Ovis aries: one gene and its partners. The protein of the gene in region 1 purifies or fractionates together with the protein of each later gene. This does not show direct contact. Links are inferred from orthologs where the notes say so. Each region holds a gene or a part of one and is shown in the gene's direction. Other genes may lie near its edges.

What was found.
Region 2: the proteins of PRKCD (region 1) and IL32 purify together in Homo sapiens (affinity purification with western blotting; 4 studies listed by BioGRID and IntAct, with this or other methods). This does not show direct contact. The link is inferred for Ovis aries from reciprocal best matches to the Homo sapiens genes PRKCD and IL32.
Region 3: the proteins of PRKCD (region 1) and SP1 purify together in Homo sapiens (affinity purification with western blotting; 3 studies listed by BioGRID, with this or other methods). This does not show direct contact. The link is inferred for Ovis aries from reciprocal best matches to the Homo sapiens genes PRKCD and SP1.

What each region holds. Positions count from the first base shown.
Region 1 is NC_056072.1:47,848,476-47,852,120, reverse strand, and holds part of PRKCD (protein kinase C delta type), read left to right. Parts: intron 1-43; coding exon 44-217; intron 218-517; coding exon 518-609; intron 610-1,181; coding exon 1,182-1,244; intron 1,245-2,000; coding exon 2,001-2,139; intron 2,140-2,289; coding exon 2,290-2,478; intron 2,479-3,075; coding exon 3,076-3,204; intron 3,205-3,645.
Region 2 is NC_056077.1:3,028,793-3,033,108, forward strand, and holds the start of IL32 (interleukin-32), read left to right. Parts: upstream 1-1,489; 5' UTR 1,490-1,674; coding exon 1,675-1,689; intron 1,690-3,163; exon of another isoform or gene 3,164-3,202; intron 3,203-3,297; exon of another isoform or gene 3,298-3,400; intron 3,401-3,755; exon of another isoform or gene 3,756-4,014; intron 4,015-4,316.
Region 3 is NC_056056.1:133,097,801-133,101,445, reverse strand, and holds part of SP1 (transcription factor Sp1), read left to right. Parts: intron 1-2,285; coding exon 2,286-2,454; intron 2,455-3,645. UniProt on the Homo sapiens protein: Transcription factor that can activate or repress transcription in response to physiological and pathological stimuli.

The sequences.
Region 1 (3,645 bases):
GTTCTGGCCCTCCCCTGCTCAGCACCCCTCTTACATCCATCAGGTGCTGCTCGCAGAGCTGAAGGGCAAAAAGGAATTCTTCGCCATCAAGGCTCTCAAGAAAGACGTGGTCTTGATCGATGACGACGTGGAGTGCACCATGGTGGAGAAGCGGGTGCTGGCGCTCGCCGGGGATCATCCGTTTCTCACCCACCTCTTCTGCACCTTCCAGACCAAGGTGCCTGGCCCACCCACTGTCAGTGCCCCTGGCCCACAGCCCTCCTCAGTTGCTCAGGTCAGGGTCGTATCTCCCGTTGAGACTCGCCAGAACAGGATCCCTTCTTCTTCCTCAGATCCCTGAAGGCAGGGCTGAGATCGCCCATCCTCAGATGTCTCAGGGCAGGGCCATTCTTCCCCCTGCAGGTCCCTCAGGGCAGAGTTGTTCCCTGCTTCCTGTTAGGGCCTGCCCCTGGTGATCCTGTCAGGGTGCCCCCCTTCGCTTTCTGTCCCCCTGGTCACCATCCTCTCGCCCCTGCAGGACCACCTGTTCTTTGTGATGGAGTTCCTCAATGGGGGCGACCTGATGTACCACATCCAGGACAAAGGCCGCTTCGAGCTCTCCCGTGCCACGTATGCGAGGCCCCATGAGGGGAAGAGCCCTCTGCCTGCCTGCCTTCCATTCCTTCTCTTCGCCCCCTGGAGAAGCTAGCCTGGGCTGGAGATGGGGTTGGAGAGACTTGGGGTGGCCTGGGCCATCCCCTGCCCAGTGTGGGAAGCCAGGGGTGGTGGGTGAGCTGTGGCTGGGAACCCAACCTGGTCATATGCCAGATCCTGTCCCCTCCTTGGGCCTCAGCCAGGTGGGTGATCTTATTCAATGCAGGACCCAGATGGGTGGCTCCTTAAACCTGCATGCATCGCTAAACTGTGTGTGTGCACATAGGCCTATCTGTATAAACACATAGACTCTTAAGACAGAGGATAGTCTCCTTTGGAGCTTTTTCCTTCTTAATTTTCTTTCCTGTCTTGGCTACCAGCCGCTACTTGCCTGACACTAGATGCACTTGATGAGGCCCAGGTTGTCTGTGAAGTTATGCACAGCATTTCCTGTCCCTGGGGGGACAGAAGAAGACCTAGGGAGAAGCAGGGGCTGCTCACAGAAATCTCAGGACACCGTATATGTGTATGTGTGTTGTCTCATCCAGGTTTTATGCAGCTGAGATAGTCTGTGGACTACAGTTTCTGCACCAGAAAGGGATCATTTACAGGTGCGGGGTTTGGGAGATGGGGGGGTGTTTAGGAGGGGAGGCCCCAACCACATCATATCCTCTGAAGTGCTCTGAATGGGGCCCAGTCCAGCTTTGGTCCCCTCTCTGCATGGAATTGGTCTTTTAGTTGGGTATTTGCCTAAACCACCTACTCCATTGCTAGAATTCCTTGTGGCCCCTTAGCTGAGGCTAGCACAGCTCCAGGGACTGGGAAATCCCCAGGCATACTCGATGCCAGTCAGGGAGCACAGCACTGACTGGTATGGTGTCTCTCTCCCTATGGTGTCTCCCTGTAAAGCCCCTCTAAAGCCCTATCCAAGCACTCTGAACTTCCACCCATAGGGACTGGTTTCATAAATTCTCACCCAACAAACAACAGTCCTGTCCTGCTGTTAATATGTATCCATGCCAAAGGAAGAGGCCGGGCTCTGTGCTGTTGTGGATGATGCCAGGGGATGTCATCAATTGGGAAACCAGTCCATGGGACAGTGTGTACTGAGTACTAGGGTCCAGACTTTAAAAGGTGGTGTACATGCTGTCCATGCCTAGACTCAGTCTAGGCAAGTAGGATGGTGTGTGTCAAACGCAGTAGCCAGCTTGCAGGAAGCACTTATATTTAGCACTTCTTTGCCCTCCTCTTCCTCATTCCCCCCTCCCTGCGGGGGAGTGCTAGACTGACAGTGGGGACATGGGAGGGAGCTGCCTGGAGGAGGGGAGTGGGCCCTAATAACTCCTTCTCCTGTCCTTTCCCCTCAGGGACCTCAAGCTGGACAATGTGTTGCTGGACCACAGCGGCCACATCAAGATTGCCGACTTCGGCATGTGCAAGGAGAACATGTCCGGGGACAAACAGGCCAGCACCTTCTGCGGCACCCCTGACTACATCGCCCCCGAGGTGAGTGGCACCCTCCCCGCCCCGGCCAACACCTTGCCTCCACAGGGTGGGCGTGACTTGTGATGTCTGGGCTGCCACTCGGGGGATGAGGAGATCCCGCCGGACTTGTGTTCCGGAGCCCCTTCAGCTCCCACACTTTGTCTGCTCCAGATCCTGCAGGGCCTAAAATACTCGTTCTCTGTGGACTGGTGGTCCTTCGGAGTCCTTCTCTACGAGATGCTCATTGGTCAGTCCCCCTTCCATGGTGATGATGAGGACGAGCTCTTCGAGTCCATCCGTTTGGACTCACCGTACTATCCTCGCTGGATCACCAGGGAGTCCAAGGACATCCTGGAGAAGGTGGGAGGCCCTGGGCGGAGCTGGCCTGGGGGGGCTGGCAGATACCAGGTCTCAGGAGTGCCAGAAGCCCCCTGTCTCAGGGATGGTGGCCTCGCTGATGCTCTGGTCCTCACCCACCCGGGGGAGTCACCCTCCTGCTGCGATCCCAGGACCTCCCGTCTGGGTTCCCTGCACTGAGTCAGTCTGGCATGGCAGTGACAAGATTGGGGTCAGGAGATAGACGGACCCTAGGCTAAACTCTGAGTCTGTCTCCTTATCTACAAAATGAAGCTAGGAGAGAACCTTTCTCACAGACTTCTGGGTAGGGGGAAACATAAATTTGTGATGCTCAGGCCTGTGCCAGGCAGACAGTAAACACTCAGTAAATGACCACTGCTTTTACTCACAAATCCCACCCTCTGAGAGTCCCAGCAGCCCCCATCCATGCAGACTCGGGAGAAGAGACAAGAGAGGATTCCTCCACCCCAGAGGCTCTGGGGTGTGATGCCGGGCTGAGCCAGACTGGCCCAGGTACCCCTGGGCCTGCTTGGGGGTTTTCTGAGGAACCCATTTCCTGTAGCCCTTGGGTGCTAACCAGGTTCCTTTGCTGGGTTGCAGCTGCTTGAACGGGATGTAAGCAAGAGGCTGGGAGTGACAGGGAACATCAAAATCCACCCCTTCTTCAAGACCATCAACTGGGTTCTGCTGGAGAAACGTGCAGTGGAGCCACCCTTCAAGCCCAGAGTGGTATGTAATCCTACTCCGGTGGGGCTGCCACTCCACATTGCCCCTACTGCCTTCCCGGGTGCGCTCCTCCTGCTTTGCCCTTCCTCCCTCCTGCCTCATTTCCATGCTCTCCTCCTCTCCCTTCTGACAAATCCGCTTTCCCAGCCCTTCTGGCAGGCTGAGTCACAGTCTCTACCTTTTGTGTTCTCATGGTCTCTTCTCAGTCAGTCAGTCATTCAACAAACATTTGGTAACAGTGGATCCAGCACCCTTTACCATGCATTCTCTTTTATTTATTTATTTATTTATGGCTACACTGAGTCTTCATTGCGTCATGCAGGCTTTCTCTAGTTGCAGCAACCCGGGGCTGCTCTTTGTTGTGGTGTGTGGGCTTTTCGTAGTGGTGGCTTCTCGCTGCGAAGCACAGGCTCCAGGCACACAGACTTCAGTAGCTGTGGTGCA
Region 2 (4,316 bases), on another chromosome or scaffold:
CATGATAGTGGAGTGGGTTCCTTTCTCCAGGGGGATCTTCCCGACAGAGGGATCGAACCCAGATCTCCTGCACTGCAGGCAGATTCTCGACCTCTGAGCCACCAGGGAAGCCCGCAGCTGAAGCAAGAGCGCCTCTGTTGTCTCCCTCCCGCCCTGGAGTTCTGAGCTGGCTCAGGGAAGGATCTGGACCTCCTGGGTGTGGGAAGGGAGTTTCAGACAACTGAAGGGCTCCTAAGGGGCAGCTGGGGTCTGGTGGACCCAAGAGAGACTTTCCCTGAGGAGCGGGATTCCTAGGTTCATCTCCATGGGGTGCACACGGGTGGTCAGTCAGGAGGCAGGTTCCTCTTCAAGGATATTAGACACTGAATCCTGTTCCCCTAAATGCACCCAGTGAAGTCCTAACCACCGGCACCTGGAGGTGGGTCTTTCCAGGGAATCAAGTTAGCATGAGGTCCTTAGGGTGGGCTCTAATCCATTATGGCTGGTGACCTCTGAAAATGGGGAATAAGGAGACAGATACTTGTCTAGGGAGGGTGCGATGTAGACCTGGAGACAGCCGTCTACACGCCTAGGAGAGAAGCCAGGAACACAAGTTTCCCTCAGGGCTCTCAGAGCATTCACTGCCTGCTGAGCCTGGATTTCAATTTCGAGGCTCCACTGTGAGAGTAAATGTGTGTTGCTGAGACCGGGTCTGTGGCTCTTTGTTATGGCGGCCCTGGGTCTCTAAGACAGATGCCAGGCCATGGCTGTGTTGGGCTGTGAGGGGCTGTGGTCTCAGGGGAGCTGGGCTAGGCTGTGAGAGTCAAGCGCTGTGGGGCTGGCCAGTGCCATTGAGACCCCTGGCGCGGTGACTGAGCACTGGGGGCCCGAGCAGGGCTCAGGAGACCCTGGTCAGAGGGGCCCAGACGGTCAGTAGGCTCCCTTCAGCCCCTTCTGAGGGACACATCCTGTGGGTAGGCACACAGGCCCGGCCCCTGCTGTGGATGAATTCTCCCTGCGGGAGAATCTCCAGCTCAGGGCCCCTGCAGGTCCTGTGACTTCCTGAGGGCAGGGCGGCTGCAGAAGCTTCTCTAGATGTGGAATGGGGTGCAGTCTGTTCCAGGGCCCTGGTCGGCTGCCCCCGAAGCTTCCTCAAACTATCGTCCCAAGTCTGGACTTTCCCCAGTCCCTCCCCGTTCTCCACCGATAGTGGCGGGGTACTGCCCAAGCTGGGCTCAGAGATCCCAAGGCAGCTTAGGGAGGAGGGGCCCTGAACCCTAGACCCTGAGTGTAAGGGACACGCCCTCCCCGCCCCGGCCCCTCAGACCTCTGGCTGCATGTCTTCCCCTCCTTCTGACCCCCCTCTCCTGGCTCTGTGTCTGCGACTATTTCTGTCTCAGTTTCTGTCTCAAATATAACCAACCCGACCCTGCCCCCTCCCCCAGCAGGACTCCACCCTCTCCACCCCTCCCTGGCCGGCTCTTAAGTGGCTGGGGCTCAGCCGGCAGCCAGGCAGTGCTCAGCTGGAGCTCCGGCTGCAGGATCTCAGTTGAGGGGCTCTGGGGAGCCTGGTGTGGGGGTGGGGAGACCTGCAGGCAGAGGACCCTCCAGGGTGGTGGGCAAACCTGCGTCACTGAAGCACTTTTCCTCCCACTCTTCTTGCACCAGATCCCAGCGGGAGGACCCTAATCCACCATGGGCTTCGCTAAGGTGAGTGACGACCAGAGCCCAGGGGAGAGTGGGCCTGTGATCTCAGTTCTTAGTTGCTGCCTGTCCTGGTTCCCACCGGCTCAGCCCCAGCCCTGCTGACTGCTCTGGGCACAGCAGCCTCTGTCCCACCCTCCCTGGGTGCTGGGGTGGCCACAGGGGAAAGTGAAGTGTGAGTCGCTCAGTGGTGACTCTTTGTGAACCCGGGAACTGCAGCCCACCAGGCTCCCCTGTCCATGGGCTTCTCCAGGCAGAGACACTGGAGTGGGTGCCATTTCCTTCCCAGTGGGGAAGCAGAGGGCCAAAACATGGGACCCGTGACATCAAAGCGCCCAGGCTCACAATGACCCAGATCGAATGCTCCGCTGTCATCAGCCTGAAATTCTGCATAATTGTTGACTAACACACTTCACTTTCCTGGTGCTCTGAGCCCTTTCCTTAGGTAGCAGGTCCTGGCTGTGGGGCTGGGGCTCCTGCTGGGAGGTCAGTTTGAGGGGCAGCTCAGTGTGGGGGCCTGTGTTGGGACCAAGGAAGGAGCAATGGCCCTTGGACTGAGTGTAGGAATGAGAGTCGTCATGCTCGTGGGGGAGCCGACGAGGAGCGTCTGCAGTGTCCGAGGAATCAGCCACCCTCGGGCTCTTCTCATGCTTATTCCTATTTATTGAATTTCTTCTGTCTCCGAGGGATCTTGGTTGCAGCGTGTGGGGTCTAGTTGGCTGGCCAGGATTTTCAGAGAAAAGCTGAAAGCATTTCTCTCAGGGCCTGGATCAACAGCTGAAGCCATGCTGAGCTCAGAATTTATTCTTATTTTTTGGGGAGCCCTCCGCCCTCTGTCCCACTCAGCTACCTAGTTCTGAGGGTGACCAGCTGCTCAGGGGCTCTGGGCCATGGCACACCGGTGTCTGGGTGTGGTTATCACGGGGTGAGCCAGGCTGAGCAGCCAGGCCCAGTGAGAGGAGGATGTGGGCAGCAGAGTGTCCCCACGGCCCCGCGAGGTGTTTCCTTGCCCAGTCGTGTGTGATGCTGGGCTGACATGATGGGCCCCCCGGACACAGGGTGTGCAGACGGGAGCCCTGCATGTACTGTGAGCCCCACTGACCTCGCAGGGCCAGGAGGGCCGCGGGGACAGCGCCAGATTCCCGCCCTTAGGTGGAGTCTCCCGAGGGGTCGGTGGGGTGCCTCCCACCTCCGAGATGGAGTCAAGTGCCTGGAGGGAAAGGGGCTGGGGGGCCGGGGCTCTGCAGGGTCAGAGGTCGGGAAGACTGGCCGCTGTCACCGTCAGCGCCTCAGACAGGAGAGGACAGCGCCAGTTCCTCCCTGGTCAGCTTTCAGCGGGACTATGGAGGGCTTGGCATCTGGGAACCAGGTGGACCGCCTATTCCAGGGCAAGAGTCCTCCTTGGTGGGGGGGGTGGTTCTGTAAAACAGGTCTCAGTGGTTACAAGACCAGAAACTGAGTTTCACTGTTACCTCCACAGGGAGTCCCATGTGACTAGACTTCTCTGAGGAGCATACTGGTAAGACGCTAATCCCGACGAATATCTGGGGCTCGGGAGGCCTGGGTTCTGCTGGGTGATGCGGAGAATGATCTGGCCCACTTGGGGCTCCGCAGGGAGAAGAACCGAGCTTCTTTTACTCAAGTCCACCTCTGTTCACAGCACAGCTGCGGGGATCACTTCTGTGATAAGATGGGAAATGAACCAGAAGAAGCACAGGTGGGTCAGTGTGCCCCACCCCCGACCCTCCCCAGTGTGAGGGAGGAGGGGTGGGTTCACAGTCACGGTGATGATGAGGGTCACAGCTCAGGGCCCAGTCCTTACACTGGACAAACGCACACCTGTGTGGCAGGTGAGTGTACAGGGAGGAGATATGGAAGCCCAGGGATGCTGAGGGCGGCGTCCAGACCACAGGGCAACGAGGGCAGGGCAGGGATGCCACAGCATGGTCTTCAGGTTGAGGGTTAGTTATTGGGGTGACTGGGCAGAGATGAGAACTAGCTGGGGCTCGGAATTCAGGGTGAAAGTGAGAGAGGGTGGGGGTGTTTTAAACAGAGTGTTTTTTTCCCACCAGATGGAGGCAGTCCTAGCAGAGTCGGAGGTGAGTTTGGACCTTGCCCCCTGCTAAGGGTAGTCCTCAGAGTTGGATCAGCCAGGGTATGGGGTCTGGGGCCCTGGCTCCCTTCAGACTCACCGGGATGGACGGGAGGCCACAGTTTGGACCAGACCTCAGAAGCGAGGCAGGAGTGCGGACTGCACACTTCCTCTCCCAGGAGAAACTCAACGAGGACTTCTATGAATTCCTGGAAGATAAAATTCAAGAGAACCTTCCCGTGAGTTGGAGCCACTGTCTCAGCACCTTCCTTCCCCTCCCCACTGGTTTCTCTTGTCCTGGGGCTGCTACGTGTGCTAGAGCTCCCTGGAGTGGGGGATGAAAAGGGCAGTCCCTAAAATCTCAGGCGGTGCAGCCTTGTGGGCATCAGCCTCCCCACTCAGGGCATGGTGGCCAGAGCCCTGGACTCAGCTTCCTGCTATGAGCCCCGTGGGCCTGCTGCTGGGTTCAGAGGCCAACCACCTGCAGGCAGGTACAACCAAGCACCAGGGTTCGTTCTTCGAGGGGAACCGAGGGGCCAGG
Region 3 (3,645 bases), on another chromosome or scaffold:
TATTGGCGTATCTTGTTCTGTGATTTCTCACTGTGTTTTTCCACAGGGTATTTCCCCAATAGTGATGGATGCAGAGTACTGAATGTGTGCTGTGTGGCAGCGCAGTGTTTTCTGGGTTATGCTCAGCAATGTCCATATTTGTTTTTCACAGTAACTTTATGAGATTGATAATATTTCATCCGAACTTTACTGATGGGGAAATTGATAACCAGAGAACTTATTTGATCATTACCAGAAAAGCTAATCGTACGTAGTGCAGGGACTCATATCTAGGGTCTGTCTTACTTCTAAACTGGTTTTTAACTTGTACTCCAGTACTTCCCAGTTTTCGTTCTGCCAGTATCATGGAAATCTCAGAATATTGAAATCGAGTCTATCTCACTGTGGTGAGCTGGCGCTGGGGAGTGGCAGAGTGAGAAGCGCAGGGAGAGCTGCCCACTAGCTGCTAGAGTCCTGGTGATCAGCTGAGAAGAGTGCAGTGAGGCACACAAGTCAGGAGCCTAGGATTCTAGATGTTTATTTAGTTTCCTTCTTTATAAAATAGATAAAGCAGGCCAGTTCAACACTCCCCATTTATTAGAATCTTAAGTATGGATATAGAGTTTTTAACTTATTTGCAAAATGCTTTCATAGGTGAATGCTTATTGATAGTAGATTTGAAAGCTGGAGAAGAATGTTAGCTATTCCTTTAAACCATTGTTTCTGTCTGTTGGCCTAGAGCACTGTTTGAAAATATCAAATGCGACCCATTAGTAACTCATAAAATCAATATACTGGGTCATGACCGGCATTAAGGAAAAAAAAAATAGAGTCTAGAAAATTTTAGAATACACTGCTTAACATAAGGATAGACGTTTTCATGAAACTACTGTTTCAATTATATATATATGTACTAGATTACATTGTCAAATATATATATTTTTATTGTATGTTGCAAGTTTGAAAAGTTTGAAAAACACTGTCCTGGAACTTCATAGAATTTATCTATTTTAATTTTACCAGGAGAGAAATTATAGTGATTTTAAGACAAATTTATCTTTAAAAGGAAATGACATCAACTAACAGAATGTATGTATGGTGTTTTCTTCTTTTTTGTAGCATTCTGAAAAGCATCTAATCCCAAACCAAAACCTTCCTGGCATGTATATAGCTAGCTACGCAGAATTAACTTTGAGGACTTTCCTGGTGGTCAAGACTCTGTATTTCCGCTGCAGGGGGCTTGGGTTTGATTCCTGGCTAGGGAACTAAGATCCCACATGCTGCTCCACATGGCCAAAAAAAAGGAATTAACTTTGACCTCAGCTCATTCATTTTCTCTGTATGTCAAAATTTGTAATATGTATGTACTGTTTCCCGCTGAATATTCAGAACAATTTTTTGCTCATTTCAGGAAGTTTCCCCTTTCTGGTTTTGAACAGTTTCTAGTTTAGAGTCCCGTGAAGTCTTATTTTTAGTCACTTCCATTTTGTTGGTTCCATAATACATTAGCTCTGGGAATGAGTAAGAGATTTGTTGTAACCTCTTTCTATAGCAGTGTGTAACTTTATCTCATTCTTTTTAATGCATATATAGTAGTCCACATAAGTTTATTGTAATTTACTTAAGAAGTTCAGCAGTTGTGTACATTTTGATTTTTTTCCAGTTTTTCGTTATAAGGCTACAGAAAACTTTACTGTCTCGTATGTTTGTGTTCTCATGAACACATCCTTAGGACATTGTGATTGAAAGTGAAATTTCTTTGAAGATGTGCACTTAAATTTTTAATGATATTGCCACATTGGCCTTCAAAAGATCATACAGGGAGTTCCCTGGCAGTCCAGTGCTTAGGACTCTGCACTTTCACTGCCAAGGGCGCAGGTTCAGTCCCTGGTTGGGAAACTTAAGATCCCACAAGCTACACAGCTCAGGTGCACCCTCCCCCCCCAAAAAAAAGGTTGTGCTAATTTATCACCACCTGCCACTGAGCCATCTGGGAAGCCCTGTATCTTTGCCAGTGCTGTACATTGTTAGAGTTTTACCTTTTTAACCTGGTAGGCTAGAGCAATCATAAAAGTCAAATAGAATTGTGTTTTAAAATTTGAGACTGAGCATGTTTTCATAGACTTATTGTTTCTTTGTCTCTGCAGTGCTGATTTTTGAGATTTCAAGTATAGGCAATATCAGTGAAGGTGACTTCAAAGTTTTGAAGAAATGGTGCTGTAAAAGTCAAGGGTCACTGTGGCTGTGATGATACCTGTGGCTATGATGACCTTCCCACTTTGACCCTTGTACTCTCTTAATTTCAGGTGATCATGGAGCTCAGCTTGGCCTCCATGGGGCTGGTGGTGATGGAATACATGATGACCCAACAGGTGGAGAGGAAGGAGAGAACAGTCCAGATCCCCAACCCCAAGCTGGTCGGAGGACCCGGCGGGAAGCATGCACTTGCCCCTACTGTAAAGATAGTGAAGGAAGGTAAGTTGATTCAGCCGGTCTCTTTAAGAGTGTAGGATGAAAAATTAGTAGATTAGGAGGGAAAAATAAGTGGTTTTTTTTGTTTTGTTTTGTTTTGTTTTAACTTTAAGACTTGGCAGGGTTACACAGGGATCAGAGATAGTATAGTGCATTTGGTTAGGCCGAATGTGGTCTTGATTCCAGCTCTGGTCCTTTCATCAACTCTTAGACCCTGGACCTTCAGAGATGCCTGCTTTCTGTTAGAGACAAGGAAGTCACATGGAGCCAAATGGTCAAATGAGTGTTACTTTATGTCTGTTTTGAGATGTTTGTTTTTACTCTTTAAAAAAATTCTGTTGGTGAGATGGTTTTAACAAGATAGCTTATAAAACAGCCTGGCAAAGAAACGGAAACATACCTACTGTAATGATTATTTTACAGTGACTGTGTGAAAATCATGAGTTTGTTTTTTTTTCTTCCTCAAAATAGATAAAACTACTTATTCTGGGTAGAAAATTCTTCAATCAAATAATCTAATATCACCTACAAAACAGACTTCTGATAGATTTTTGCATTAATGTGCTGGCTATACAATATTATCTCTGAAGAGTTCCAGGTTATTTCTCTTTTCTTCAAGTCACTGACTTTGAAAGAGAATAGAAAGTCATATAGGTTTCTAATTGCCTTTGAAAAAAGTCTGTTAAAGTTTTGCCCCATTAAAAATAAGCACAGGGGACTTCCCTGGTGATCCAGTGGTTAAGAATCTGCCTTGCAGTGCAGGGGACTCAGCTTGATTCCTGGTCAGGTAACTAAGGTCCCACGTGCTGCCAAGCAACTGTGCTTACACGCTACAACTAGAGAGTCCATGTGTCGCAGTGAAAGATCCTACATGCCGCAGCTAAAGACCTGACACAGCTGAGTAAATAAATAAATACTAAAATAATAATAATAATAATATGACAGAGTTTCCCTGGTGGCTCAGTGGTAAAGGATCTGCCTGCCAAGGCAGGAGACACAAGTTCAGTCCTTGATCTGGGTGGACCCCACATGCTGCAGAGCAGCTAAGCTTGGGTGCCACAGCTGTTGAGCCCCGTGCCCTGCAGTAAGAAAAGCCTCTGCACCTGGGGAGAAGCCCCTGCGCATTGCAGCTGGAGAACCTCCACACAGCATCGAAGGGCCAGCACAGCCAAAGTAAAGAAATTACGTTTTTTT